Linked DNA regions of Schizosaccharomyces pombe. The gene in region 3 interacts genetically with the main gene of each other region. Each region holds a gene or a part of one and is shown on either strand. Other genes may lie near its edges.

Region 1 (6,263 bases), on a different chromosome or scaffold from region 3:
AACTCTACCTTGTCAAACCATAATGGACTGCCTAAAGAAGCCAAAAAGCTCACTCTTAAGTGCAGTTGGTTCATTGTGGAGGAATCTAACGGTGCCAGAATACATGCTAATTTTTTTGCACAAAGCTTCGATAAAAGAGAAATTGCTTTGTCTTTTTTTGAAGCAAATGAATGGCAAAATATAATTGGCTGGAATGATCAAGTTGAGGAGATGATTGACTTTGTAAAATCAAGAGACACGGTGATCCAAAAATCTTTTTTTGAGGAATTTAATTCCCAAAACCGAGAGATGGGATCATTTGCATATTCTGGTAACTCGGAATCGGTATGGACGGGCGAAAATATTACAAGTATATGGAAAACTATTTTGATTAATGAAACGGGTTCTTACTGCGTAGCTGCGAGACCAATGACAATGGATGGAGCTGAATTTAATTTAGACCTTATGGGGTATTCGGTTTCAGAAGATCAAATTAATAATGACGAAATTGGCATTTGGAACTATATTTCTGTAGCTGAAATGGGAGGAGTACTATTATTTTTGAGCTATTGGATATGGACTTGTTTACATTTCAGCAAGATTATATTTCCTGCTCAAAAGGTAATCTGCCTTTATATTTTTCTTTTTGCGTTAAATCAGACTCTACAAGAATGCATTGAGGAGTATGTTTTTTCTTCCGAATGTATAAAATACAGACAATTTTATTCGGTGTATGAAATAATTGATTTTCTTCGGACAAATTTTTATCGATTATTTGTGATTTACTGTGCATTGGGTTTCGGCATAACTAGAACTGTTCCTAAATATCTTATGATAAAAGGAATTAGTATTGTCATTGCTTTATGTTCTGTATACTGGATTTCTTTATATAAAGACGTATATGTAGTATCAGAGATTTTTGACATGATCCAGTATGAGGTATCTCCTGCAATTTGGGTGTATTCTATTTGTCATTTATTGAAACAATGCACGTCTGTAACAACTTACGAAAATGCTTCAAAAGCCAGATTTTTTAGAAGAATGCTAAATGCATTTATCTTTATATTCTGTGCATCTCCAATGTTGCATTACCTGTCGAATATTATATTTGGAAACTTTGATTACAGACTGTCGGTGATCATTGGTGATCTTTTCACTTTTATGGAGAAAATTGCTTTTCCATGTTACATAATGTTTCCCACCCATAATGAAGCACTTGCCTACAATCGAAATGTAGCTGAAGAGGCTCAAGAGAAAATGATTTGACAAAAACCATGGTTTACTTGATTCACCTTTAAAGGGGTTACCGGGATTATTTTATTTATTATTTGTTTATCAATGGATTAATATCCAGTTATTTTAATCTCACTTTTTTACACAGAAATTGTGTAGTAAGTTCATTCTTATTTAATATACCACCTATTTATTTTTTACAAATGAATATTTTTTTACTGGAACGTTTTAAATACACATAACCTTTGAGTCGATGTGAAATAATGTTTTGTTCAAACTTAAAAGTTGCGAATCTGACATATAGACAAAAAAAAAATAAAAAGAAAAAACTGGTTACCTTCATAAACATATTTTGCTAATTTATTGAATTTAATTATTTTCAACTTGCTTTCCCATTTTCCCAACAATTTTTTTATCTATAATATATATTTTACAAAATTAATATAGTACATCGCATGGTTTTCTTTAAAACGACATAAACGTATAATAATAAACGGGGATTCAAAGTAATAAATCGAATCCAAATCAACTTTCAAATACATCCATTTCATCTACTTTACCCTTATATTCCCCTTCATATCCCCAACAAAAAACAGGAATTTGCGAAAGTAGTAAATGGTAAAAGTGAATAAATAGAATCAAGGTTAAAAGCTTACTTGTATGCATAAGAAGATAACTCCCTCCTCTTTACTTTTGCTTAAAAACAGATTCTGAGATTCGGGACTAGCATCGGTAATATAAGTTTTTCTTTCATACTGTTGAGTACTAGCATCAGAACCCTTAATGGTAGGAAGATCATCATCATGACTACGCCTTTGTTCAATCGAGTAAACATTTGCTGGTTCGTGCCAGTCACACTGAGAACAACAAAGTACCTATTATTAAAAATGTTAGCAAGCGATCGCTAACAAGTTGAAAAGTAAACACCTCCAACTATTCCATGGAAAGCATGTAACAATGAAGATCAATGAATGGCTATTAGCTTAACAAACTTGTAAACTCAAAACAGACTAACAACGTTTGTCAGGCACTAAGAGCAATAATGGAACAGACTTCATATCAAACGCTTTCTTGAATGTTCTTACCTTATTCGTATAAACCGGAAGAACAGGCACAATGAGAACCGTTACGGTTTTCAACTGACGACATACTCGGACTAAAAACAAAAGAAAGAGCCAATTGCTTTCGAAACTACTGAACTTGTTTATTTCTCGTACCAGTCTTCTTTGAACTAAAAAAAAAAAAAAGCATTAGCAAAATGTGTTGTCAAACGGATAAAAAGAGAACAGGAAGAAGATTGCTGGAAACAATTTTAAAACAGCGAATAAAAAAAAAAGAAAAAATAATAATAATAATAAACAAAATACGAGTCGCTAATTTTTGAAACTAATCGCTTCCAACAACTGTTTCATTATAACTTCACCATTTTAATATTGTCCCCAAACAGCATGATTTAATTCTCTTTCACTAATTTCATACCACACAGGACACGTAAGTAAAACATCCTTATAATCGTCAGTGGATATCCACATATCTCGTAAATGTAATGGCATTGTTAAAAAAAATAAACACTCAAGTGAATAGAATTATGAAGAATTCGAGTCTAGTTCAAAATATTTGTTTTGACAGAGTCCCTCTATTTATACCAAGACTAAGCCTCACAGTGAAATATTGTCTAGCAGTAAAATTGCTGATTTATTTATTATATTGTTGGTACATTTACTCGGAAGTACCATCGGTTTCATCTAAATTCCGATCCTTTACATTTGGATGCGTCGTAGTATATCATAACAAATTTTTTCCTCGTTTCATTAGAACTCACTCCATTAACTCCATTAGAACGTTTTCTAAATTTCAAGTCATTATACTTTTCTCTATTGAGAAAGTCACTAGGTCAGAAAGCAAGAATCATTCTTACTCGAAAACCGATATTAGTGATCTGCACCAGGGCTATAATAATCCACCATCAAGATTCATATCACGATAACAATTCCATAGTATCTTGCTATATACGTGTAATGAGTATTCGATACTGGCTTGATTGCTATTTCTCCTTTGCTTGTAATCGTAAAATTGACTTGAAGATCTAAACCTTCTAATGCAATCATTGGAATTCTGCCTAACCTGATCAAATATGGCTTGATCGCCGTTATGTTAAAAGCAGAAGCTATGCCAATCAGTATGATTGTAACTTACAAAAAAATATAGCACAACGACATACAACATTATGGTACAATAAAGAGGACTTGATATATCAAGAACGAGGTTCAGTTTGTGCTCCGTTTATATTATTGTATTTCTATATATGACATTACTTGATGCAATCGCTTAAATATGTACTTTTGTGTAGTTATACTCGCAAGTACAGTAGCATTTTTAAAGTAGCGGTGATGTTGACGAATGGTTTGTTTCAAATCCATCCATTTCAATTTCAATTGTAAATTTCTCTTTTTCAATTATTAATCAAGTAAGTTGAAGTGTATCAGCACAATAAATTCTGACTATTACTACTCTTAAAATAAAACTCAAGCGAAACTAATTTTTAATAGCAAGTCATATTCTTAGTTTGATATGCTATCCGCTTTGGTTTTGCATTGTTATGACTTTGTATAACCTAATAAGGTGACGAAAAATCAGTTCGTTTATATTTTTGATGAGAAGAATTCACTATTATTACACAGAAAAACATTTACTTCTTATTAGATACCTTCAATATAATATATTTTTTAAATGTAATAGCGACGACACTACCCATAATTTACAATACATTGTATGGTAAACAACTGAGTAGTTGATACACCCGATTTTCATTGAGTCATACACTTTGCGCTTACTATCACTTTATTTGGCTAAATGCATAATTTACAAGCCATTCCAATATTTCGCGCACTTTTCGGACATAGTAATAAAAGCCGAGGTAGTTTCGGCGACTTGCAACATGTTTTTTTATCGTCAGCTCGGAAATAGATTTCCTGACAGAGAAAGAAGGATATAAAAATAAACATGATGGGGCAATAAATAAATATTTCACCATTTTTTATATATCATTAAGAACAATGAAGAAATATATCTCTGAAGTAAAAAATAGTTGGGAAAATATGTATGAAGATCCCGCAACACCATTTGATAATGAGAAACCAGACGAATAGATCATGAATCTTGTACAACTGGGGAAATTACATGAGAATGTATTAGATGCCGGTTGTGAACCAAATAGAAATGCTAGATATTTAGCCAGTCTTGGATATAAAGTCGTGGGTATTGATATTTCCGAAAGGGCTATTTCTAAAGCAATCGATAAAACATCTAGTGAAAAAAGTAATGTCAACTTTAATCAACGCGATTTTTCAAGATTAAATGAATTCAAGGGGCATTTCGACACTGTGATTGACATTGGTTGTTTTCATTCAATTCTAAATAGTGATCATGAGCCATACACAGCTTCGTTAAGTCATATATGTCACTCTGATAGCTCCGTTTTCCTAAGAGCGTTTAGCGAAACAAACAAATCACGTTATAGACGGTGGCAGGGCCATAAAAGGTATTCCCTCGCTTTAAAAAGAAACAATGTCAAAAAGCTTTCTTTATAAACTATTGGAAGATTGAAGACATTAAAGAAGAAAAGTCCTGCTTCATCTTCCCCTAACTAGAAAAATAAATGTTTACACATGGTTTGCCAAAATGCGTTGTAAATAGTTCATGTACATAAAATATATAAAGATGAATGGACATATACATCAATTTTAAGAACCCATTAACAAAAAAAAATTCAGACACTCAATTAGCTAGCTAACAACTGTTCTTTACGAAGAGTTGAAAGAAACTTACAACCAATGGAAACCTTAGAAATATCAAGGCTATGATGCACTAGCGAAAATCCATTAAACTGACCAGAGCTTTTAACTTTGATAGATTGGCTATTCTTATTAGAAATCGATTGTTAACATTCATGAATTCAGCATTATATTAATGGTTAGAAAGTTATGGATCGAATATAAATGCCAAAGAAAGCAGGTGTGAGGTGGTCATTTGCTGAATCAGCAGGATGGATCCATGATGGATGGGATCGTGCAAGTCTAAAGAATTCTTCTGTAGTGAGTGTTCGTTGAGGCGATCTATAGGACAAAATAGCAGAATTGTATAAAAGAACTTGGAAAAAAGTCTATTAAAATAAATTGAGTATACTTTCCATGCCTGTAATTTATAACTTGCTATCGTGCTTACTTAGAATGCTCCGCGGTGAAGCGTGCACCGCGGAAAACTTATTGCATGTATTTTCCGCGTAACTGAGATTATATACATAAGTTAAGTATTTTGTGCATTAATTTTATATTTTAACCGGACCATACAAAAGTAACCAAAAAAGAAAATTGCTTTTAATTTAGAACCTCAAGCCTACTACTTTCAAATAACTTTTGGTGATTTTTTGTTGTATAGGAATACTATAGTGGAAACGACCTTTAGTATTGCTTAATCAATCTACGTAATTACTTGAATAATCGCTAGAAGATTTTCATTTTTTTTTTCAAACAAATTTCTGTGTTTTATATGAAAGAAGAGTCAATTTTAAAAAAATGCGATTCAAGTTCCATAAAACACGTGCCATCAACCCCTCTAGAGACAAACTGTCCAGACAAATATAACCCTAAAACATGGCCTATTCGTTTAAAGGTACGAAATGTCATTGTTATTTCATCAATGACTTTTTTGAATCAATACGGTGATAGTGTCTTTGCGCCAAGTATTTCCAATATTGCAGAGCAATTTCATGCTTCGCGAACCTTGGTCACTCTAGGAGCCACACTTTATACATTAGGGATATTATTTGGAAATTTAATATTTGCTCCACTTAGTGAACAGTTTGGAAGAAGACCTATATATTTAATTGGTTATAGCGTATTTGCACTTCTTCAGATTCCCATTGCTCTGTCAGTAAATTTGGCAATGTTTTTAGTATTTCGTTTTTTTTCTGGACTTTTCGGATCCGTTGGTTTATCAAATGGATCTGGCTCACTGGCTGATCTGTTTGAAAAAAAAGATCGAGGAAAATA
Region 2 (6,928 bases), on a different chromosome or scaffold from region 3:
CATGGAAAAGCAATTTTCTCCATAAAAGTGAAAAGATCACCAATGATCACCGACAGTCTGTAATCAAAGTTTCCAAATATAATATTCGACAGGTAATGCAACATTGGAGATGCACAGAATATAAAGATAAATGCATTTAGCATTCTTCTAAAAAATCTGGCTTTTGAAGCATTTTCGTAAGTTGTTACAGACGTGCATTGTTTCAATAAATGACAAATAGAATACACCCAAATTGCAGGAGATACCTCATACTGGATCATGTCAAAAATCTCTGATACTACATATACGTCTTTATATAAAGAAATCCAGTATACAGAACATAAAGCAATGACAATACTAATTCCTTTTATCATAAGATATTTAGGAACAGTTCTAGTTATGCCGAAACCCAATGCACAGTAAATCACAAATAATCGATAAAAATTTGTCCGAAGAAAATCAATTATTTCATACACCGAATAAAATTGTCTGTATTTTATACATTCGGAAGAAAAAACATACTCCTCAATGCATTCTTGTAGAGTCTGATTTAACGCAAAAAGAAAAATATAAAGGCAGATTACCTTTTGAGCAGGAAATATAATCTTGCTGAAATGTAAACAAGTCCATATCCAATAGCTCAAAAATAATAGTACTCCTCCCATTTCAGCTACAGAAATATAGTTCCAAATGCCAATTTCGTCATTATTAATTTGATCTTCTGAAACCGAATACCCCATAAGGTCTAAATTAAATTCAGCTCCATCCATTGTCATTGGTCTCGCAGCTACGCAGTAAGAACCCGTTTCATTAATCAAAATAGTTTTCCATATACTTGTAATATTTTCGCCCGTCCATACCGATTCCGAGTTACCAGAATATGCAAATGATCCCATCTCTCGGTTTTGGGAATTAAATTCCTCAAAAAAAGATTTTTGGATCACCGTGTCTCTTGATTTTACAAAGTCAATCATCTCCTCAACTTGATCATTCCAGCCAATTATATTTTGCCATTCATTTGCTTCAAAAAAAGACAAAGCAATTTCTCTTTTATCGAAGCTTTGTGCAAAAAAATTAGCATGTATTCTGGCACCGTTAGATTCCTCCACAATGAACCAACTGCACTTAAGAGTGAGCTTTTTGGCTTCTTTAGGCAGTCCATTATGGTTTGACAAGGTAGAGTTTTCCTTTTATGTAGTAATAGATACTGCTTTGGCGTCTACTTCACCTTTAACTAGAGTATGGAGAACTAGGTTGCATAACAGCAATGCTAGTGTTTTATGAAGACGCATCTTTAAAAAAGTTGGTAAATGATGCTTGCTCAAGGGAAAAGCAGATCAGGAATGATTAGCCTTTTATATCTTTCGTTTTGGAGTTACCGTGCTCCACGTTGCATAACGTTAGCGTTAAAACATTGGGAAGATTGGAGGGAAAAGAACACAAATAAATGGTTTGTTCACGCATCATACCTTTACTTCAAGATTTAAATTGTACAAGCACAAGTTACTGAATATAATAAAAAATCTGTTAAGTATGGAACGTGAAAGATAAAGTCATTCACCGTTGACTAGTTCTATTCCGTTAGTACTCGTACTTCATTCGATGATTGAGTTAATAACGCCGTTGGTAATATCCCGAGAATACAGAAGCTTTTTAAAAGAAAAATATAGCAAAAAAAAAAAAAACTGGTAATGACCAGTGGATAAAGAGATAGCATTCGTTTTTTTTTGAATTTAGCAATTATTAATTTAAAGCATAGATTGAAATTCAGCATGTACACTACCAATCTTTTTTTTTTTTTTTTAATTTCAATAGTTTGTTTTTACGATTGCGAGCAAGCGCCAGAACAGATTATAACGTAGAAAATTCAATTCGTCTAACTTATGTCCTGCAATATTTTCGCTTAGCAAGCATACACCACACCACCGTCCAACCATTATCGACCTAAAATAAATTCTGTCATTCAAGGTTGATCACTCCTTTTAGGCAAGATAGATAATAAGACGATTTGTTATAAAACTTTCTTTCTCAAATTTTTCTGGTCTGTCAACCATTTAAAAGTAGTCCAAAGATTTAGAATCTTTTACTGTTTATTCAAATAAAGCTGTTTAGTATTTTGTAATTTGAAAATTAGAACGATATCTATAATCACTAAGCGAATAATCACTAAACGAATTATATTTCAAACAAAGCCTTAAATTAACTCGAAGCATTTTCGTCATAAAAAATTGAAACCAAATTGTTTCTACTAACAGATAATGAATAAAACTCCTTTCCTGTAGTGAATATGACGCTGAATTTTGGGTTAAAGTAGATGAAATGGAGTTTTTGAAACACAAGTGGGAGTCCAAATTGGTTCAATTCGAAATTTTTTATTTAATATAATATATTTTAAGCTTTTAAAAAAAAAATATATAAAAAAGTCATTTTTAGTATTTGAATAATTATGAAACGAAAGATAAAAACATTAGTTACATTAAGTGATAATATCTTAATTAAAACCATAATTTGGTTTGGTTCCATAATTGAAATTCATAACGAACGCACCTTATGTGCATGATTTGGACAGGACAGTCAATTCGAACATTGTTAAGAATAGTTATATTCTATATGATCATGAAAACGATAAAGAAAATTATTTTTTCACAGGAGTAGGCATATTTTGTAGTTCTATTTGTTCAATATCAGAACCAACTGTTGTTTCTGAATGTAATGCTGTTTCTCCGTTATGTGTAGGAAGAGTGTTAGAAACACAGACGTCTCCTGGTGTCACAATTTTAAAGCCTAAAGACAATATTACAAGTTTGTAAAGAGCCCAATGACCAAAATACAAAAGGCCAGTTATAGTTGCACCCAGGGCTGCTATAATCATTCCCAAGACTGCTATAATCATACCCAAGACTGCTATAATCACACCGGTCACCCGTAAAGCAAGTACCGCAAACTCTGCAAAGACTATTTTAAATTATTAGCAAAAAAAAAGAAAAAAAGCATCACTATAAAGGAAACATACAAATTAAACTAAGTAACATTAAAACAAGCAAACAAACGTAAATAGCAATAGGCACCCAAATTTCACTGTAGAACCGATTTTCATTTATCCAAATTGAAAGAAACTTTTGGACTTCGAACTTTTTGTCTACTGCGAATACAATGATAATAGACCAAATAATAAGCAAGGGCCAACGAAAATTACTGCGGGTAGAAATCCTTCCATCAGGATAATAGCTATTGTGGAATTTAGAAAATTCAGTAAAAAGGTCATTTAAAAACTCTTTTATTTTATTTGTTTTAATATTCATCTTGTCTTTTTGAGGCTTAATGGTGTTGGTAAAGAGGGATTGTCGGGATTGTCGAGATCGTTGAGATTGTTTGTTTACCTTTTCAGGCTTACACAAATCAAGTCCCTGCTCTAGGTCCACATTACAAACATCTTCCACCATAAATAACTCATTGTAACCAGGAGGTTCAACCTGTTTTTTCAAGCTTTCTGGATTTGACATTGGAATAGAACGACAGCACTGTAATTTGATGACTTCTGATTCACTAGTATTTTTCCCCAAAGTAAAATTAAAAAGAGTGGTTTATGGAAAATAAAAAAGAAAATATACTAAAATATTTTAAGCCATAAACGAGAAAATTAAAAAAAAAAAACCAAAATGGTGAATGTTTTACGTTCTGAGGTGTCTCATTTATTTAGGAAAAGCATTATGATGTTGGCATCTCGTAATCCTTACAACTTTTTTCTTTTCACAATTTAACAGCTACGCAGTTTGGTATCTGTTTAACGATACGTTTAAGTACGATGTGTTTTCCTTGTGACCTAGTATATTACAGTACACAGTAATACAAGTAGCATCTGCTATTGATATTTTTATATATGAATTAAATTGTTACCTAATCACTAAAGTAGCTGTAGCTTATTGCTGAACCTCGTTCTTTATTTTTCAGTTTTTCTCAATTTATAGCATTTAAAAATTTTTCTAAATATCCTGCATAATTAGTAATATGTCTATCTCTATAACTCAGAGTGGAAAGTTAATAGAGCAAATATAGAACACTTGACGTATGGTGTTATTCAACGTAGTAGTATTTAGTAGTATTGTTGACCTACATACATTGTATAGGAGATTATGCTTAATCCAGGGGATCATACAAAGGATTATCCTATAACCCTTATTTTCGTTCCGCAGTAAGTAGGTGTTTGTATGCTCTGAGGCTTAGTAATATATAGCGATCAAGAGAACGTCAATATCATAGAAATTTGGAACTATCTTCATCCTCTTTTTAATATTTTACCGATGAGATTGCTATTATTAGTTACGTTGCTATCTATCGTTGGTTACACTAATCAGTTGCTTTCCAACTGACCTCGAAGACGCTCCAGCTGTAATCTGGGTAGCCCAATTTCCTCCAGATAACACTACACAGCACTATGAATTCAGATATATCGTAAATGAATTATATAATGCTAGCAAGATGACTGCATTAATGAACCATATATATATCGATAATCCGCTTATAAGCAATTCAACTAATAACGTTACTCACGAGTTATTGATTGATCTCCATGAACTTTATAATGACGGAGAGATTTCCAGGATAGTTCTACTCAGAACTTTGGTAACTCAATCTGCGGATGATGCTACATGGATAATCAACTTGACAGATGATGTGCTTAATGGATTACCACTGCTGAAGAAGCGAGACCGATACACCACACAATGTCATAGTACAAATATGGCAAGCACATATGACTGTGACACTGGAGCCAATGCTGTTGGAGCCCGAGGTGGAGCCACGTTAGCAGCCGACTATAGAGGTGATTGGGGGGGGTAATGTTATACAAACCTTTGGTAGTAAAAGCGTGTCTTACTGAGATCTAGCATGTGATGTTTTGGCTTATTATCGATGATTGTTCTCAATCAAGAGCAAACACCCACCCTGAAGTATCAGGCGTTATACCTGGTTCTGCTGGAATGCGTAGAGTATGTGTTAGTGATAGAGGATCTGGGTGTTAATATTGCATCCCATTGTCCATAATAAAGATCAACACTTGAAGTTTTAAAACAATTAAAAACAACCCAAGTTAATTGTGTAAAGTTTAAATTGGAAATGTAGCATAGAGGGTAATACCTACGATAAATGAAGAAAAATGAAAACTTATAAGGATTAAGAGAAGCATTAACTTCATTGTCTTAATAGTATAGCGTAACTGTTGCAAGATTGACAGCGATATGTAAAAGTAGTATTTAATACAGCAGTTAAAAAATGTTCAGTCCCTTTAATTCCGGTAAAGCATTCAGTCATCCTACTAAGGAAAGATTCACAGAATCGACATATTGATTGTTATTCCTTCCAACTGAAGCGGCAGCTGACTTTGTGTACTACTGGTGGACTGAATCTATCATGATTAACAATTTCTTTATAAAGTATTTGACATTCAGTCATAAAAATAACAAAAAAAATTGAAAGAAGCAAACCGTTACATACATTACATACATATTCGATAAACATGGTTATATGTCGCCATTTTTAAGCTTGAAAATGATTACATGTTTAACTATTGCTCTTTGAAACAATATATTTTGTCGGTTTTTTATTAGTAGCTAGTATATTTATGTTTAAATTTCAATAATATTTCTTCATTAATTTATTTCAAAAAACCTAAAAAAAAAAGCTATACATCTGTTTGCTCTTATATCATTTCATTATCTAAGTACAGCTTAAAAGTTTCCATTGGAAACTGAACACTATCGATATTATTTTTAGCTACCGCTTTTCTGTTCCTACATCATTGAAAGTTGACAAACATTCAAAACGATAATACTAAAGTAATAACACGCACACTATATTATCAGTAATGTTGTTTTATTAGTATCAGCTAACAATAGTAAACGTCAGCAATATTACTACACTACACTACACTACACCTTGATATACTCGTTGTGCATCACCATATGCCATACCTAAAATACCAAGATTTCTTCGCCAATAATTGCGGAAGGCTACATGTCTATTTCAAAAATACCCATTGAAAGCGACTATTAGAAAAGATCAGTAGAACTCAATATTTTATCATCACATATATTTACAATTTGATTATTTCGTATACTATACTCTCATATTATCTGTAGAATTGTAATGCTCTACTTCTACAACGTATTATATCACTGTGATTTATTGCTAGTACTACTCGTACCAACAACTTCCAACTCAGTACGATACTAGGAATCAAATACTGCAATTCAACCTTTCTTCATACTTCTCTATTGTTTTGAGATTAGAACTACATTTGTCACTTATGAATTATTCCAAAACAGTACGCAATACTACCGTATTGATTGATGCCTTTGACAATTAGGAATCTCATTGAAGTAAAATTTAGAGCACTTATTGATTGTGAACGACGTAACAATATTACTGGTCATGTTAGTTTTCGATCTTTTTCCGGATTGACATCTTTACCTGCTTGCAATTTACTTAACGGAATACCATACAATCACTTTGTCAAGCAGAACTTGATGCGATCTGTTGAACTAAGCAAGCGTGGGACTAGCGACATAGATTATGAATTCTTCTTAGTGCATTGACGATTGCGCCGGAGATGATTGTTATTTTACATTAGGTTTCATGAATACATGTATCTGCAGAAATAAATCAGAATTATATGTCTTCTTCAGCAATAAGTACGAATACTGATATGGAAATGTTTTTTACTGCTTTCCACATCATAATTGTGCCGGTATTTAAGATGCACATAACTAAACTTATTAGATCACGGGGACACAAGTCTGTTGTTTTTATCCGGCATATTCAGTAAATACGATGTATGTGCAATAATATTAAAGAATAAGCGTTTAATATCAATTGCTATCAATAACCAAATAACAATTCAAAAATCAAAGCTAGTAATTGTATAAATAAAATAATGATGAACTACAAAATA
Region 3 (9,860 bases):
TGCAAATTTTGTTATTTCTCTAGGTTTATACTTCACGAAGTTTTTTTTTACAGTATACTAAAAAATAAAACAAAATTCTACACTGTCCACTTACTGTTCTAAGCTTCGACACTATAGCAAATTTAATCATATGTTGAGAAATTTTCGAAATTAATATTATTTTTGATAACTTTTAAGTTGAGTTTCCAAAAACTTTACTACTCTATAACACACCTAATAGAAACGACTTTGTTGTTTAGCCTGTTCTTTGTACACAGGAGTCTTTACCATGATAGACATAACTTCAAACAAGATATCAGCAGCAGCTAATGTAGTAACTTCAGCAAAATCATAAGCAGGTGCAACCTCTACAATGTCTGCACCGACGAGTTTGATCCCATCCAAGCCGCGGAGAATGGTACGTAATTCTCTGGTGGTCCAACCTGCACTCTCAGGGGTACCGGTGGCGGGAGCATAAGCGGGATCAAGAACGTCGATGTCAATAGACAAGTAAGCTATACCATCTCCAACTCTGTCACGGATCCTCTTTATAATAGCATCAATTCCAATTGTGTCAATTTCACGAGCTTCAATAATCTCAAAACCACAATCAGCATCATTATCGTAGTCAGAGAGACCGGAGAGAGTTGTACGAATACCAGCATGAATGTTTGAATCGTTAGAAACTAATCCTTCTTGACTAGCATGGTAGAAATAAGTACCATGGTTAATGCTACCAACACTTGATTTGCCGCCTCCAAAAACCTTGGGCTTCCAGCTGTCCAAATGACTATCGAAATGAATGATAGAGACAGGTCCATATGCACGAGAGACCGATCGAAGAATTGGAAGGACAATTGTGTGGTCACCACCGAGGGTGATAACTCTAGGCAAAACGCTTCCATCTAATGCATAACCATCTTTCTCAGAATAAGATGTAGGCTTGCGAGTTAATAATTCGAAATGGCCATTCTCGATTTGTTTAATAGCAACTGCATTGTCATAACTCGTCAAAGGAATATCACCACAGTCCACAATTTTAGCCCAATTGTTGAAAGGGTTGGTCTCCATTGGAACGTTGTAACCACCATAAAGATTGAGACGACGAGATCCTTCACGGATACCGCTTGGACCAAATCTAGCACCAGGACGGTAACTAGTACCAGTGTCGAATGGTGCTCCAAGGAAGGCAATGTCGAAAGATTGACTTTTGTCGTTTAGACATTTCCAATAAGGAAGACGACCAAAAGTTGCGATTCCCGAAAAAACGGAATCAGCTTGTGTTTCACCATCTCCTGGAAAAGCATCGTCAAAGGTTTCAACTGCATTTGCACGAGATTGCTCAAAGATCTTTGGGTGCGCTTGAGCCAATTGAGCAGCACCCGCGAGAAGAATCAAAAAAAGGCTTTGAAGAGCCATTTGAATAATTGTTTGTACTGTTGAAGTTTATTGCATTTTCAGGTGAAATGAATAAGGTATTTATACTACATTTCAGATATACAAACTTCTTCAAATATCTCCAAGGAAATTTTTGAATCTGCCGTGGGGATTCACATTTCGTTAATATAAATAAGCATTCCTGTAAAAACGATTGATTTCGTCATTTGAGTTGAGCATCCACCGGAACAAACTAGTATAACGAGAGATTAGGATGGATCTTTAAGTTAGATCTAAGATATTATTGCCTATCAGAATTTCCTTGGAAATAAAGGCATGATTGTACGCTCCAAGGAAAATAAATTACGGAAGGCGAGGAAATTCGGGCTTTTATGATTAACTTTTAAAGTCTTATAAAATGGTTAAATTCATTTTTGCTTTTGAATAAAGACATATTTAGTCACAAAAGCCTCTGCAAGCATATACCCTTTCGGTGATCATAAAATTTTTGACAAACAAGCTTTGTGTGGCTATTTCGGCTTGGAGGAGTTGACATATAGATCTTTAGTCTTATTCAAAATATTTGGTATAAAATATTTACGAGCTGCTAATTTTGCTAAGACCAATTTGCTTTGAGAGTTTTCTGCTTGTAAGGACGACTCACATTCAGCATTTACAATGAGTGACATCGACAAAGAAAGCTTAAAACAAAATCAGAAGCAATGGGAAAATGAAGTTGAGTTGGGCGAAAGCAGAGAAGCTAATCAAGATGATGAGCTTCTGATGAGCCTTGGTTACAAACCAGAATTCACTAGAGAATTCTCTTACGTTAGCATTTTTGGTCAATCGTTTGGATCAATGGGTCTTTGTCCGGCTATGGCGGGTTCACTCATTTTCTCGATGAACTGTGGAGGAGGAGGCATGGTTTGGTCATGGATTATTGGATGTATATGTCTGATTCCAGTAAGTATATCATTGGGCGAACTGGCGTCTTCTATGCCTACTTCTGGAGGTCTTTATTTTTGGATTTTTACCCTAGCATCACCATCGTCAAGAGCATTTCTCTGCTGGGTTTGTGGTTACGTGTCAGTGCTTGGCTACGCTACGATTTATGCTTCAACAGTGTACTCTGCATCATCTATGGTACAGGCACTAGCTGTGATAGGTAGTCCTTCTTATTCACCTACAAAATATGAACAGTACGGAATTTACGCAGCGTTGCTTTTCGTGATTTCTGCCATGACTGCAATTCCCTCTCGTGTTATCGCGAAGGTGAACATCATTAATATTACCTTCCAATTCCTTGTATCCATTATTCTTATTATTGCCCTTGCCGCAGGATCTGACTCTACTACTAGAAATTCTGGAAGTTTTATATTCGGTGATTTTACAAATTATTCTGGATGGTCAAACATGGGATGGGCATTTATACTTTCATTCACTACTCCTGTGTGGGTTGTAAGCGGATTCGAATCTAGCGCCGCTGTTGCTGAAGAATCAACGAATGCTGCCAAAGCAGCTCCCTTTGCTATGATTTCCAGTCTTGGTGTGGCTACCATTCTTGGATGGTGCATCGTTATCACCGTTGTAGCTACTATGGGTCACGATTTTAATGCCATTCTAGGTTCCTCTTTAGGCCAGCCTGTAGCTCAAGTACTGGTTAACAATGTTGGAAATAAGGGAGCTTTAGGAATTTTCTCTTTGCTGGTCATTGCCCTTTGTTTGAACTGCATTTCGTTACTGATTGCTGCATCTAGAGAAGTATTTGCTTTCTGCAGAGACGGCGGGATTCCAGGAAGTAGATACTTACGTCTTTTGACTAAACAGAAAGTTCCCTTAAATGCAATTCTTTTAGTGCTACTCTATAGCCTTTTAGTCGGTCTACTAATTTTGGTTAATGTCACTGCCATTTCTTCTGTGTTTAATTTAGCAATTATTGCTCTTTATATCGCTTATTCCGGCCCTCTTATGTGTCGATTTGTGTACAATAAATTTCAACCTGGTGTTTTCTACGTTGGAAAATGGAGCAAACCAGCAGCCTTATGGTCATTAGTTTGGATGTGGTTTATGATTCTTATGCTTTTGTTTCCTCAATATCAAAAGCCCAACCAAGATGAGATGAATTGGGCTATAGTGGTCCTTGGATTTGTAATGGTCTTTTGCGTGGTGTATTATTATTTGCCAAAGATTGGTGGTAAAACTTTTTTTACAGGTCCAATACCTACTGTTCAACAGGAGAACGAGTACATATCTGGTGTTCCACTAAATGAACTATCTTTAAGCAGTTTACCTTTGCCAAAAGATTTTGACCAGAAGCAAATCACAGAGTAATTTAACCTGAGTGTTATACTTTTCTTAACTCTTCTTTTTGGCAACAGCTACGCTGTTTCATTGTATTTTTACTGTGCTTTTATAATTGTATGTTTATTAACAGTTCTTTTTTATTCTTTTGTTCCTAGTCTTAGTTAAATAGCTTAATATTGTTTTAATGTCTTTTAATGAATTAGTGGCTCTGTTATCATTATCAGTAATATAAGATTATATAAAATTTTTTTTATCTTTCGAGTACGTATACTTATCGTCTTGTCCAGATTTTCTTATCATCACTTCCCTTATAACCTATACTTAAGCACGACTTGAGTAGTGCTAAAATAAATCTGCAGATGTATATGCTTTTTAACAGTAAACTGCACCAAAGGCGGTAATGCTTGCTTACAATTGATACGCATTCAGCTAGAATTTAAGATAGTTGTTTAATTACTCTTTTCTTAACATAAGATGTCTCAAAATAAAGCATGTGATCTTTGCAGGTTGAAGAAGATTAAATGTAGTCGAGGGCAACCAAGATGTCAGACTTGTACTCTTTTTCAAGCGGACTGTCATTATTCTAATCGTGCTCGCCGTAAGAGACTTGTTCAAAGAAGCAAGGAGACGTTTGGGGGAATTACGTTACCCGTGTTTGATTATGCCGCTGGTATTAACGGCAATGAGCCAGAACCGAGTGATCACTCAATTCCAAATCAAGAAAATTTTGCATTAACTACTAATGGAACTATTAGTAAAAACATTGAAAAACCCGAGGATGGTGAAGAATCCGTTCAGAGACGCCTTAAATTGCTTGAAGAAAAAATCGATTTGTTGTTAGATATAGCTACTGAAACTTCAGAATTTAAACGTGAAAATAAGGCTATTGAATTACCTTCCTTGGTTACACAAATTAAAGATGCAGAATCGATTGTTATTAAACACAGACAAGGTAGCCCTGTCGACAATACACCTACTCGGATACTGAATGTGGAAAGCTTGTTCCCTCCACAGTTGCCGGACTGGGAGAAGGCATTCCATGACATTCCCAAGAAGGAAGTAGCCCATGAGTTAGTCACGTCTTACTTTCAGCATGTAAATTGGTGGTGGCCTACCTTCGTATATAATGATTTTATGTATGAGTTCGAACGTCTTTATGCGTTCGGGTTCCATAGCAATAATGCTTGGCTAATTTCTTTTTATTCTATTTTAGCATTAAGCAGCATTAGGAAAAGACTTGGTAACTCAAAGACGCTTGCAGAGTCTTTGTTTTCAACAGCTTGGGTTTTTGTTCAAAAGTCCGACTTTTTTCTTACTCCGAGCATTGACAAAGTTCAGGCTTTAATTGTCATGACACAGTACGCAGCTTACCTGTCTAGCTCTTCTTTATGTCGGACTTTGTGCGGCCAAGCCTGCCTCATGGCCCAACAATTAAACTTACATAGAAAGCAATCCACTGATGTGGAGCCTGAAAAGGCTGAATCGTGGAAAAGGATATTTTGGATGTGTTATATTCTCGATAAAAATATTTCTTTGATTTTTGGAACCCCTTCCGTTTTTAACGACAAGGATATTGATTGTAATTTGCCTGATAGCAAATATGAGCTTTTGTTTGGTGTACAATCTGGTGGTGATTTGATATTTGTTCCTACCGTATCGTTGACAATAATTCAGAGTGAAATACGAAATCGACTATACAGCGTGAAGTCACCTACGCAAATGGCAGCGAGAGAAAAAATCATCATACCAATACATCAAAAATTGAAAGCGTGGGAAGAAAACCTTCCTTCTGAAATAAAAATGTATCATGAAATGTTGCTAAACAACACTTTTTCTCCCACTATATCGCTTAGCGATCGGTTCGAATTTTTAACTTTCGCAGGTATGGAAGTTTACTTTTCTTACTTAAACACTTTAATTATATTACACAGACCTAGCTCGTCGACAGAGAATCGAAGGATTTGTATTAATGCAGCCCGTGAAGCAGTTCAATTGTTAAAAAATAGACTCAACATTGATCTCAGGGTCAATGTTAAAGCAGATCCGCTATGGATATTCCTATACTGTCCTTTTACACCTTTTTTAATAATATTTAATAACCTTGTTCACGAAACTGATACGGAAACGGACTCAGAAACATTACTTAACGATTTGGATCTTTTACATGTAATTTACGATTTTTTTATGGAAATGGAGCCAGTTAGTGACGTGGCTTTGGAACTTGTCAAAATTGCAGACAAACTTTTGCGGGTTGCTAAAGAAGTTTGCAGTGCCAAAAATAATGATGTTACGGATTCTACTTTTAAAGATATCGTTGAAGGTTTTGAACTTAACGACTTAAACAGTTGGGATTTTGACAGAGTAACCAATGTTATGAGGAATCTTTAAAAAAATATGAAAGTAACGTTGTTTTATTAATAATTTATTTGCTTTAATGTACATGGTGAACATCATTACCGGTTAACAATGAAGCTATTATCAAACTATTTTGCTTGATCAACTACATGCATCGACCCAAATGTCTAATTGAGTAGTGCAGTCAATTCAGAGGAGTCACCAAATCTTGAGATTGCCTTTCTTGATTGGGAAATCCAGTCAGTTGCCATTACAATTTTCAGTTCTAAAATTCCGACTATGGATAACGCTATTACCTGTCCAATCCAAAGACCGACAAGACCTTTGCCATGGAAGGCTAAATAAATTCCTAGAGGCAGAGCAAACAAATAGTAGGCAGTAATGTTAACTATAGCGCCAACCTTCTGTCTTCCCGTGCCTCTTAAAGCTCCTCCCATTGTACCATTCAAGGAATCTGATATTTGGAAAGCAGCTACTAAGGGCATTACAAGAGCAACCAGCTGAATGACATCTGGATCATTTGTGAAAATCCGTCCATAGATATTGCGTACGGCAATCATGGTAATCATGATAACGCTTCCTACTGCAACACCTACAATTGCTGCGACCTTAGCAGTTAGAGAAGCATTGTCAGGTAACCCAGCTCCGAGATAGTAGGCAACTCGATTAGAAGTAATTATTCCGAGACCGAAAGGAATTGTGTTAAGTAATTGATCTGTGGTCATAATTACTGATTGAGCGGCAAGTGGTACAGCACCAAGTTTACCAGCAACTAGTGCTACTATTTCAAAAGCCCACCATTCTGTTCCCACCATAACGATACCCAATAGTGATAACTTTACAAAAGGTCCAAAGTTCTCTAAGCATCGTTTATTCCAACCATTCCACGCCTCTGCCCCTTTTACGTATTTCGCATATTGAGTTAATAAAATGAATGAAAGCCAGTACGATAATCCAGTTGCCAATGGAGCGCCTTTTAAACCTAATCCATAATAATGGACAAGTAGAAAATTTAAGGCGACATTAAGAGGAGAGGTAACTAGAAGAATATAAGAACCAGCCCTAGTGATTTCTTGTGTTTGCAAAAACTTTTTTAGCAATTCAAAACATACATAACCTAGTCCGCCTGGGATAAGGTATCGTAAAAACTTTTGTGAAGCTTCAGCTAATTCAGGTGTTTGATGCAAGAAAATTAGGATGGGTTTAGAATACCACCAAACTAAACATATTGGCAGATATAGAATACTGAGCACGATGAAACCCGTTTGCAATAGAATTCCCAATTCTTGTTTTTTTCCGGCTCCCCAAAGGTTGGAGCCAAGTGTGTCAAAAGCAGTAGTTCCACCTAGAGCAATCAGCCAGCCTGTGCTCATCGCAAACATGTACGCAAAAGCAGCTACGGAAAGCTCGCTTGGTCCAAGGCGCCCGGTTACAATAACTGAACTAGTTTGCAAAGAGTTTTGCAAGGCATATCCAAGGATTACCGGAGCTGAATTTATCAAAAGGTATTTCACCTCTGTAAGTGGTCTACCCATAATAGTGCTTTCTCAGAGAAAATTTGGATATACGGTGTATTTTTTAATATAAATAAAGAGTACTTCTTAATGTCTGTTCACCGAAGGTTCAAATTTTCCTTTAATAAAAGTTTACTAAGCTTTTATCATATTGATTGAACGGATGGAACCATAAATTTATATCAGAGAACGCTTAGAAGCCGCACATTTAGGGCATAAAACTTCAGATGTCATGGCTAAACATTAGTATATCCGTGGAGATACGGAAATTTAGAAATACCCACGCAAAATATTTTTCGCTTAGCCAACAGACATTGGGAATTCTCGCCGAGTTTTTGCTAACTTAAATGATAGCAGTTAGCATATTTTGCCGGTGAAAATATTATTACCGTCTCACTCCGCTGGTTAAAAATAGTAGGTAACAAATCGGTTGCAGACTAAGAAGCTATTGACTCGCACGTTATTCTTAATTTGTTGAAATTAGTACAAAAATTTGAGCATGAAAGCGAATAAAGAGTACAAAAAATATTTTGTAATTTTACCTTGCATACTCATTGACTGTTAATAATTATAACACTTACCGATGGTGGTAAAATATATAGCAGAAAATAGCTTGGTGAATTTATTAGTCAATAATGATTTGAACAAACATTACAGAAAAAACGATTTGTAATTTCCCAAATAACTGTGTATAAGTATGAATCCAGTTGTTTGGCGTACGCATATATCATTCTCGGTTAATTTTGCTTTTCAAAAGTTTATATTTAGATTGCTGTGACTTTTAGAATGCAACACGAAATAACTTTAAATCTTTACGTTTTTATTAAAACTTTCTAAATTAGTTTATAAACATCCATTCGTTCTTTAAATAGAATAAGCACCAAAATTCATCTTTGCTTGCAATCACTCTCTTACTATATAGATATATGCATGATATGACAATTATAATCAACATTAAATAAACACAACAACAACAAATAATCACACTTGTTCTTACAATTTGTAAGCGTTTTTGCTCCACGCACGAATGCTCTTGCCAAAACGATAAAATATAAAAGGAATGGGAACCATCGCTACAGAAATAAAACCAAGCACACTAGTAGCCCAGTGATCTCCTAAATTAAGGTACATAGGCCTGGCCACCATACTTATGCCTCCACTGGCAGAATAGCGAACTAGAGTAGCTGCAGCTAAAGCGCTCGGTGCCATATGTTGATACGAATCAATAATGTAATTGTATGAAACGAAAAAAACTATTAATAAGGAAAACCCAAAGAAAGCGCTTGCTATTATTGGTACAATCCAGTGAATGTGATGTGGATAACATGTCCATGCAAACCAAAACATTGATATAGGCAACAAGAAGCAACCAATAAACAGCGGATACAAACGATCCTCTGGACATATAACTCCGTTTCTCTTTTTGTTGACCTTTAAATAATGCCAATAAATAAATGGAGTGCACAGACCTGCACATACGATTCCAACGCCAACACCAATAAACGACAGCCCTTGCTCACCTTTGTTGAAGCCGTATTTTGCAAATACTATAGGATATCCTTCAAAATTAATGTAGTTAATGATGTACACCACAGTCAAATACAAAGTAAAGCACACAACAATGGGCTCTGTAAAAATAAGAGAAACAGCTTGAGTAGCTGCCTGAATCATTGCATTTTTCGGATCTCGTTCCCGCTCATGGATGGTATAGTAAGCAGTGTTTCCCGTTGTTTTGCGAAGATATTTGGCCTTATAATCCAAAATCGTATCTTCGTGAGTTTCGGGGAAAAAAATGAAAACAAACACGATTACAGCAGCTGCCCAAATCATATTAATCCAAAATGTCCATCGCCATTCCAGATAGCTTTGTGTAATGAAATCACCGATTATAGGTCCAATAATTGGACCAAGGTACGGAAAAGTACAAAACCCAGGAAGGACATAGGTACGCTGGACAGGTGTAAACAAATCACTGATGGTTCCGCCAGCATTTGCCAAGGGAGTACTTCCAAAAACACCCTGGAAAAATCTTACAATAGCCAACGTCCAAACATTATGTGCACAACCTCCACCTACTTGAAATATAGTAAATATCAGTAGGGTAACAAAGTATATGATGAATCGGCCATAAATATCACTTAAAGGTGCAAATGGCAAAGACCCAACACCAAACCCTACTAAAAAAGTACAAGAACCTAACGTAGAAACTGGAATAGAGCTATGAAGTTCACTGGCGATATCAATAATGCCGCTAGAATACACACTAGAGGCGAAAGTAACAACAATGGTAATAACAGAAACCTGAATGACAATCCACCATTTATAACTATG
Region 4 (8,293 bases), on a different chromosome or scaffold from region 3:
CTCAGTGACGGTACAACAAGTAATGATGGTGCGCCATTGGAATTTGATACTACGCATCTTCCAGAGAAGCAAGTAACGCTGGATCCTAATGACCCAAGTTTTTATGAACAACTTCATGATAAATATTTTCCGAATTTACCTGTTGATGAAAAGCAAATGCAATGGCTGCATGATCCCAGTCCTGCCGAGAATAGTTATCATCCTTCTGTCGAGAGTTTGCATGCTCATGAAATTCGATTTGGCTTCAAAGGTGAAATTATAACCCCCTCTCAAAGTCAAACAATCCCTGTTAATGAAGGACTTCATCATCATGGAGACGCACCATTTAGTGCCGGATACACTTTAGTTGAGCTGGCTCATCTTTTGCGTTCAAGTTTCCCAACCCAGAGATGCATTGCTATTCAGACTATTGGAAGGATTATTTACCGATTAAACTCTGGCGAATTCAGAGAGGTGCTCAGTCCAGAATTGCATACACTAGTCGAAGATGCACATATCTATGAATTACTTGCCGCCGCTGCCAGTGACCAAGTAAAGCACCTCACTGTACGCTCATTAGCAATTGAGGCACTTTGGTTATGTTCACAAAGTCAACACGGCTCATCGAGATCGGCTGTTTAAAGAAGCAAGCTTTTTTTTATAAGGAAACAGAAAATTATGAAGAATGTTTTATCATTTGTATCTGAATGTGACGATTCTATTTGTTTTGGTTTATGTGTATTACTAGTTTTTTTTTTTTTTTGTATCAAAAAAAGGATGGTTTTTTTTTTGGTCTTTACTTTTTTCGAAATTGTCGCATTGCTGAGAGATTTTACTTGGTAATCGAAAGTGGTGCTGCAATGAATATATTTTTTATACTAATGCTTTATAAGGACAGTTTTTATTTATCTACTTTTATCGTGTTTCCATTCGTTATTTAGTCGAAAATGAATTTTTAACACAAGAAATGACATTGAGACAGACAATTTAGATTAAAATAGCCCACCCTCATAACTAGTAAGATATCACTTTGTCTTTAAATTTTCATCAAGGCGCAGTAAAGAGATATAAAAAAAGTATATATCTCGAAAGATCATTTAACCTAGAAAGTCATAGAAGTAACACATTAATTGAAGTATTATGAAATCAAGGCATAAATAAATAGGATGTCTCGCAGGCGCATAATGGGAGTTCATTTCCGTTTAAACAATCTTTTCCAAAGAGGAGCTTTCTCTTCTTTTCTTCTTATTTGGGTAAGACTTTCGTAGTAAGAAGGTTTAAATTGTGGTTTCAATACTACTTGCTTGGGGATATACTACAATTTGGTTAAAAGGCGAACAAAGGTAAGGCGACCCTATCAAGGCACGTAATAAGAAGCATACCTTATTCCAATAGACATTATCAAGCAAATTATTCAAAGCGTTTAACTGCTTATTAGCCTGTTGAGGTGGCATCTTTTGAAGTCTGGCTCTAATAGATGTGTCAAGAGTCTTAGGAAACGACAACCAAGGTCGCAATTCATCCTTCGGCCAAAGAGCAACTGCCTTTGTTATTTTTTGGTTTAGAGACATTATTGAGGGTTAAAAACAAGAATAAAGCCTCAACTTTCAATTGCTTTGCAAGTAGAAAGATTCTTCGACATTCTCTGCTTTGGCCAGGCTATATCACCTTATTGCGCTAAACAATATTGAGCGGCAAATACAAATATTGTAAATAACTTAACAGAATAATTACATATTTTGTTAGGCTTATAAGGATGCAATCAGTACTACGGTGAGTTTTTTTAGTGAATCATCTATTATGTTATACAACGTATATCATTAAATGATCTTAAAAAGTACCGGTGCGATGGAGTTGATAGAACCTTTGAAAACGGTTTAAAATTGAAGTGAGCAAGGTAGAGTCAACTAAGCATATTTAAGCAGTATTTTAAAACTTTCAATCTATATAAGAAAGGATATCTTATTTGGAGTGGATTAGAAATATGAAATTATCTAAGAAATGTTGCTATGTAAGCGAACGGGTTTTTTGTGAAACGGTTCCTGATGGGGTAGTGTAATATAATACTGTACAACGAATCTAGTGCCGGTGAAGCCAGCATGGCATATTAATTATACGATTAGCTAGCTAAAAGCAGAGAACATGGTTTATACGGGCTCTAATTAAAGTGGTTCTGAATACAGTAAGACATAAATATAATTCTTTCAGTTCATATGCAACATATAGTCTCGTTGAGTAACGAAATTGTACTACCTGTCAACTGTTAACTTCCAGCTTTTCTACATACATCAATGGAGTAACACTAAGAATTATTCCATCATAGAACAAATAAGGCATCAGTATTATCATTTAGAATAACATAAACTTAAATTATCAAAGTAGTAGTCGAAACGAATCGTTCATCTCGAAATCTGTTATTCAAATACGTTCCTTTTTCAAGTATAAAATAATCATCTTATGATTAACGACAAAGCACAAGGAAACAATTGCTTGTAAACCAAAAGTATTTCATTCCGTTCATTAAACCTTAGCATCATAACGTCCAAATAGTCTTGTCTTCAACCAGTCAATCAACACCATGAATTGGGATCGAGCAGAAATCAACTCATTTAAATATGCAAGTCTCCAAAAGGTGTGGCCGACAATTCCCTGCAAAGGCAGCATCTTTTTCATAAATGGCAATTTTAAATCGGCAATGGCCTTTTCATCTCCAACGTAAGCTAAAGCTCCTTGATGATGGTATTTAAAGGGCTCTAACTTCAACTGCTCCACTTGCTGTTTCAATCCGGCAACCTGAGAAGGAGCCTCTTTCTCACCTAACTGTTTTTCAAGAGCTTGAATCCGTTCATGCAATGCAAACTTCTTTCCTTCGACGTTCAAGTTCTTAGCCAACCAAGCACCTTGTTGGTTAGCAACTTGAGCAGTAGCAGGTAATCCAGAGAATGCGCAATCACCAACGGCGTACATCTCAGGTACACCCTTGACCCTAAAAAACTCATCAACTATTAAACCTTTGCGCGCACCGCTTTGTTCAGGGATAGAAGACATCAATGTACGAGTGAGTGGACGAGCAGTAATGCCGGCAGCCCAAACGAGCATTCCGTAGGGTATCTCTTGCATAGCCTTGCTTCCGTCAGGGTTGGTCTTTTGAACGATAAGGTTCTTCTCATTAACATCTTTAACCACGGTTTTAGTCATGATCTTAATGTTAAGATTTTTGAATAAATTCTCCGTATACGTAATCAAAGATTTAGTAAACATGGGGAGAACACCGGGGGCAGCTTCAATTAACGTGACATGGATGTCTTTTTGAAGCTCGGGAAACATATCCTTAACGTCGTTATCAATGAAATCTTGCATCTCAGCTGCAAATTCCATTCCAGTAGGGCCACCACCAACAACAGTGATGTGTAAGAGACGAGCCCGTTCCTCGGGAGAAAGATCTTTATTGAATCGAACTTGTTCCAAGATTTCAAAGATGCGGTTAAACACCTTCTTGGCATCTCCCGCTTCTTTCAGAAAACAGCCATGGTCGCGGACACCCTGGATACCAAATGTTTGATTACCAGCTCCAATAGCAAAAACAAGCGTATCATACGGAATAACCGCTTCCTTTCCCTCGTTAGCTTCGGTCGTACCACGAATGGTAACTTTCTTAGCCGATGTGTCGATGGCAGTGCATTCAGCTTGGTGAATGTTGGAGGGATCAATTTTTCCTTTGAACAAAGCCACAATGGGCTCAGTAATACTTGGAAGTCTCAAAGTACCCACGGTACATGAAGGAAGCATAGGGGTGAATAAAAAATGGTCCCTAGGGCTCACGAGGGTAATGTTGTACAAGGACGGGTCCAAATTTTTGATTGCCGCGACTGCACCCCATCCAGAACCCAAAACAACTATGTTCTTTTTCGGAACACCAGATTTTCCTTTTGGCGAACTGTTGTTCAGTCTTCGTAAGGATTGGAAGAGGGCTACGGCACCCAACATGGACAAAGAAGAAGTAACTTCCGCCATTTCAAGTGCTCGAGAGAAAAATGATTTGTTACGGGGTGTAGGAACATTCCCACTGTTCTTTACAGCACAGGATACATGAAATGAACGAACCATCGTTTTTGAATATGGCACTGTACGAGACAGGCGAACCACAGACTGTAGTCTAGCTTTTGAGACCGACATTTTTTAAGAAAAAAGAAGTAAACAAATTTCCCCTTAAATAGGACTAAGTGATAAGTGGTAGGGAGGCGTGAGTAAAAAAATGTATGAGATAATGACAAATGTTAAAGAGCAAGCAAACTAAAGAGATAAACCCATTCAAAATTGAGCTATTTTACGATATTAATAGACAGTAATAGAAAGAGAGAACGACAACCTTGAGTCCTCTCCTAAATACACAGTGAATTACTATAACTAGCAGAAATAAGCCTTTAGAACTGCGAAAAAAAGGTATCCAATAATAGTTTTACTAGAAAAAATTGTAGTGTATTCTAAAATACCTTCTACTTTACAGAAAACGAGTTTTTCTGCTTATTTTTTTTTTAAGAAGAGATGGGGGAGTGTTGAATGTGGACGAAAGGGCTGCATAGCTGAACATTTTGTATGTAAACAATTAAGGTCTACGAAGCGCCCTAATTCCGTCATCACGGTTATTCATATCAACTTGATTGGACTCGGCAATCAAGTGTGCTGTGAGTGGGGAAAAATAACGCGGAATAAGGTTATCCATAAAAAGTATTACGTGGTAAGAAAAGAATTGCTAAATGTTAGCAACGCACTGTGTTATCACATTTAATGTTACATTGGTAGTGTATGTTATTTGTCCTAAAAAAAGTGATATGGGTGACAAATGCTATAAATTTTGTGGCATGAAGGGTGTAACTCATCGTTGAATCAGCTTATAACTGGACTGAGAACCGGGTCAATTGATCTCTATTCATAAATTGTAGCTAATAGTACCTTCAATCAAAAGTATTTAACTAAATTTATAACCGTCATATTTGGCGAACACATAAAAAAAAGGACATGTGAAAAAATATTAATACCTGCTGTAGTATAATATTACTACATTAGATTACTTTTTAGGAAAAGTTGTGCAACAGTAATTTTTTAGTGTATGGCAAATTCCCAGTTTATGAAGGCAATGCTTTGTCCTGGGTATGAATGCCTTTTATTCACTTTTCTACCTATTTTACCTTCAATGATTTCCTAAACTTAAAATTCAGTAGTATATAAGACAGCTAATGTGTGCGACCTTCCTATGTGTTTTCAAATCGTTTCTCTTAGTTAACAGCTTGATACGTTAGATAGACTCAATATGTATAGAGTAAGTGAGTGAGTGGCAAAATTAAAAAAAAAAGTCATGAGTGTATATACCCAAGGCCTTGTACTGAACGATTGTCTTATGACAGATCTTCTTTTATGATTTAACCCAAATGTATCAGCATACATTGAAGTATTGAAAGAACACATTAATTGCTAGTGAATTGAAAGAATGACAGTAAACCTTCTAATGTAGTAGGATTGTTTAGGTTCTGGTTTCTCAATTAGTAATAAACTAAAATAAATTAAAAATAACCCAATGTATATCGCCCAAGTAATATAAAATCTAAGTATAAAAATGAACAGCCAAAGATATTGTTCAAAGGTATAGTCGTTTAACAGGTACAATGGTAAATACGAAACGAAGGTCCTTGAGATGGACTTTTTACATGCACTTTATTGATTTTCTTATGCAACCACATCCATCTCAACATCCTCTTTGGGGTTCTTTTCATTTTCATGACCATCGCTCTCGTTGTACGTTTCAAAAAGCAATTCTTTCATTTTCTTAGAAACTTCCTCGGCATGCAATGGTGCTGTCTCCAGAACACGGAAAAAATCTTCTTCTGGAATGGGGCCAGCTGTTTCGAGAAAAATTAATTTGGCTGGTTCTGAGGAAATTGAATAACAAATAGTAATAATAGACTCCAATTTGTTAATTGTCCCATCGACATCAGGTTCATCTTGAGTTATTTTGTTCTTCCAGTGACAATTTATTGCACAGGGAATATATTTTAAAGAGATACCTGCGTCCAATAAAGCAAGTACCGCACCATTGATTACGGCAGCCAATGTATCTGTGCCATCTTCCTCTATTATCTGAATTGACACTTGTATAAGTGTTCTTGGATATGTGTTTAGAAATATTGCATCTTCTAGGATACCAACAATTCTGCTAGAAATCATCTTTTCCAAAGTCTCAGCGACACCACTCACAGGTTGAACCAAAACTTCAACGGTGGCCTTGTTAAGCCTTTCGTCCCTGATTTTTACATCAATAGGACCATTGACACCACAAATAACCCTAGCAGAACCTACAATGATGTTAGCATAAAGAAAATTCATTTTTTTTTAATTGGCATTTGCTTGGCTAATATACCGTGGATAATAGCATTACCTTGTTTCCATTCGCTCGAGCCATCAGACCTTGAGAGGATACCTATACGGTTCATTTCAGCTTCTATAATGCAACAAAGTTGCTTGCTTGCAGAGACAGAAGAAACGTTTCTACTTCCTTTGCACAAGTAGGAAATAAGCTAGCTTACACCTCGTTATTCGAAAACAGAATGAGAGCAGAAAAAAATGTATCAATAGTTTGGTGACAATGGGAGTTGTATTAATAAGGGTTTGTAATTAAATTCTTCCAATTTTTACTTTACTAAAGCTGAATGATAGGAGAAACTGGAATGATCTGTAACAGCCCAACCACTAAAAAATTAGAAATTACTCATAGCCATCTTTCAAAATATTTTTTTAAAAATAATACATCATGATATATAATCTCATTATAAAGGAATCACCTTTGTATTAAGGAGAATGAATCCAGGATTGTTTTTTCATTTCTGAAAGTCTACTCAAGCAACGCGTGAAGGTAAATACCTCTTCAATCCCACCAAATGCTCCATGATAGTGAGATTCAATTTTCCCCTTGGCAGCAGGATCAGCCGTAGAGGAAAGTACTTCAGAAGGTGCTGTCGGATATATTTCTTGAACTGGAACTTCAGATGATAAGATGAGTTTTCCATGGGTGTCATAAAGGGCATCAATAAATGTAATGAACCTATGGATAAGGTCTTTCGACTCGATACTCAATTTGGGAATGTCTGAAACGATGAAAACATGGTAACGGCTTGCCAATGAAAGATAGTCGGCAGCGCTTTTCGGTTCTCCACATAATTGTTCAAAGGTGAACCATGCAACGTTGCCACTTGCTTTTGGAACGATTATCTTTCTCCCAAATACTTCAACTTCGTCTTGGTGAGCAGGATCTTTCTCATCAGCGTAGCAAAGAAACCAATTTTCCAAGGCTTTCTTAACTTCTGGGCTATTAGCAGGATAAAGATATGTATCTTCTGTTTTAGATTTTAGGCGTCGGTAATCGTTTGGACTGTCCAAACAAATTACTTGAAGACGATGTTCCAAAAGTTTAATGCAAGGAATGAAGCTCTCTCTTTGTATTCCATTTTTATACAAATCAGAAGGAGCCCTATTAGAAGTAATAAAGATAACAACACCATACTTCATAAGGGCCTCAAAGAGTCTGCGTAGTAAAAGAGCGTCCGCGACATCGGTTACCTGTAATTCGTCAAAACATAGCACTGTTGTTTCTTTTGCTATTCCGGATGCAATATGATCTATAAAATCAATCTCAAACCCATAACGATCTTGCAAATCATGTGAAGTGCGATGAACTTGCATCATAAATGCATGGAAATGAATGCGCTGAGAACGAGTAACATTGGGTGGTAAGTTGTGATAAAATAGATCCATCAAAGCGGTTTTACCACAGCCCACATCACCATATAGATATATACCTTTAGGCATACCCGGTACAGGTAAAGAAGAAGTTAGAGTGGGAGACTTCTTCCTAGAAAACATTTTCTTTAAGGGGGATATCCAAGATAGGATTGATCCCTTTTCAGCTGGCATACTATCTTGCGTTATTGGAGGTTGTGTATACGATTCCAATTCGGTATACAAACGGTTGATTGCTTTAACCGCTGTTTCTTGATACGGGTCACGTTTCCATACGCCGTCATTAACTTTCTTGTTGTATACTTCAATAGGTGTATTATGAAATGTGGTAAAGCGAACTACCCTGCAAACTCCAATGCTTCCTATAGTATCAACAAAAGCAAAACAAGGAGCTGAAACACGAAGCACTTGCAGCATGATGATATGACCAAATTAAATACAAACTTTTGAACAAAAATAATGTTTCGTAAGCTAACTAAAGTAAAGAAAAAAAGTGGTTATTGATCAATTAGTGAATTCATTC

What was found.
Region 1: mutations in toe4 (region 3) and SPOM_SPBPB2B2.18 together harm fitness more than expected from each alone (negative genetic interaction), as found in Schizosaccharomyces pombe (one large-scale study listed by BioGRID).
Region 2: mutations in toe4 (region 3) and SPOM_SPBC1348.01 together harm fitness more than expected from each alone (negative genetic interaction), as found in Schizosaccharomyces pombe (one large-scale study listed by BioGRID).
Region 4: mutations in toe4 (region 3) and ndi1 together harm fitness more than expected from each alone (negative genetic interaction), as found in Schizosaccharomyces pombe (one large-scale study listed by BioGRID).

Annotation. Positions count from the first base shown.
Region 1 is NC_003423.3:4,498,892-4,505,154, reverse strand, and holds SPOM_SPBPB2B2.18 (uncharacterized protein), read right to left. Parts: upstream 2,464-6,263; coding exon 2,430-2,463; intron 2,369-2,429; coding exon 2,298-2,368; intron 2,088-2,297; coding exon 1,869-2,087; intron 1,629-1,868; coding exon 1,491-1,628; downstream 1-1,490. Other genes in the region: SPOM_SPBPB2B2.19C (transmembrane helix domain-containing protein), read left to right, coding at 211-1,245; ftm7 (transmembrane helix domain-containing protein), read left to right, coding at 2,759-3,199; SPOM_SPBPB2B2.16C (MFS family membrane transporter), read left to right, coding at 5,761-6,263.
Region 2 is NC_003423.3:2,005-8,932, reverse strand, and holds SPOM_SPBC1348.01 (uncharacterized protein), read right to left. Parts: upstream 3,483-6,928; coding exon 2,993-3,482; intron 2,935-2,992; coding exon 2,615-2,934; 3' UTR 2,104-2,614; downstream 1-2,103. Other genes in the region: ftm5 (transmembrane helix domain-containing protein), read right to left, coding at 1-953.
Region 3 is NC_003424.3:114,383-124,242, reverse strand, and holds toe4 (transcription factor), read left to right. Parts: upstream 1-4,009; 5' UTR 4,010-4,134; coding exon 4,135-6,048; 3' UTR 6,049-6,182; coding exon of another isoform or gene 6,183-7,550; 3' UTR 7,551-8,189; downstream 8,190-9,860. Other genes in the region: SPOM_SPAC11D3.09 (agmatinase), read right to left, coding at 214-1,398; SPOM_SPAC11D3.08C (amino-acid permease), read left to right, coding at 2,035-3,687; SPOM_SPAC11D3.06 (MatE family transporter), read right to left, coding at 6,183-7,550; mfs2 (MFS family membrane transporter), read right to left, coding at 8,523-9,860.
Region 4 is NC_003423.3:637,548-645,840, reverse strand, and holds ndi1 (NADH dehydrogenase), read right to left. Parts: upstream 4,548-8,293; 5' UTR 4,156-4,547; coding exon 2,500-4,155; 3' UTR 1,935-2,499; downstream 1-1,934. Other genes in the region: rba50 (RNA polymerase II-associated protein), read left to right, coding at 1-621; respiratory chain complex assembly protein Cbp6, read right to left, coding at 1,172-1,294, 1,362-1,550; exosome subunit Rrp46, read right to left, coding at 5,704-6,329, 6,413-6,467; AFG1 family ATPase, read right to left, coding at 6,823-8,187.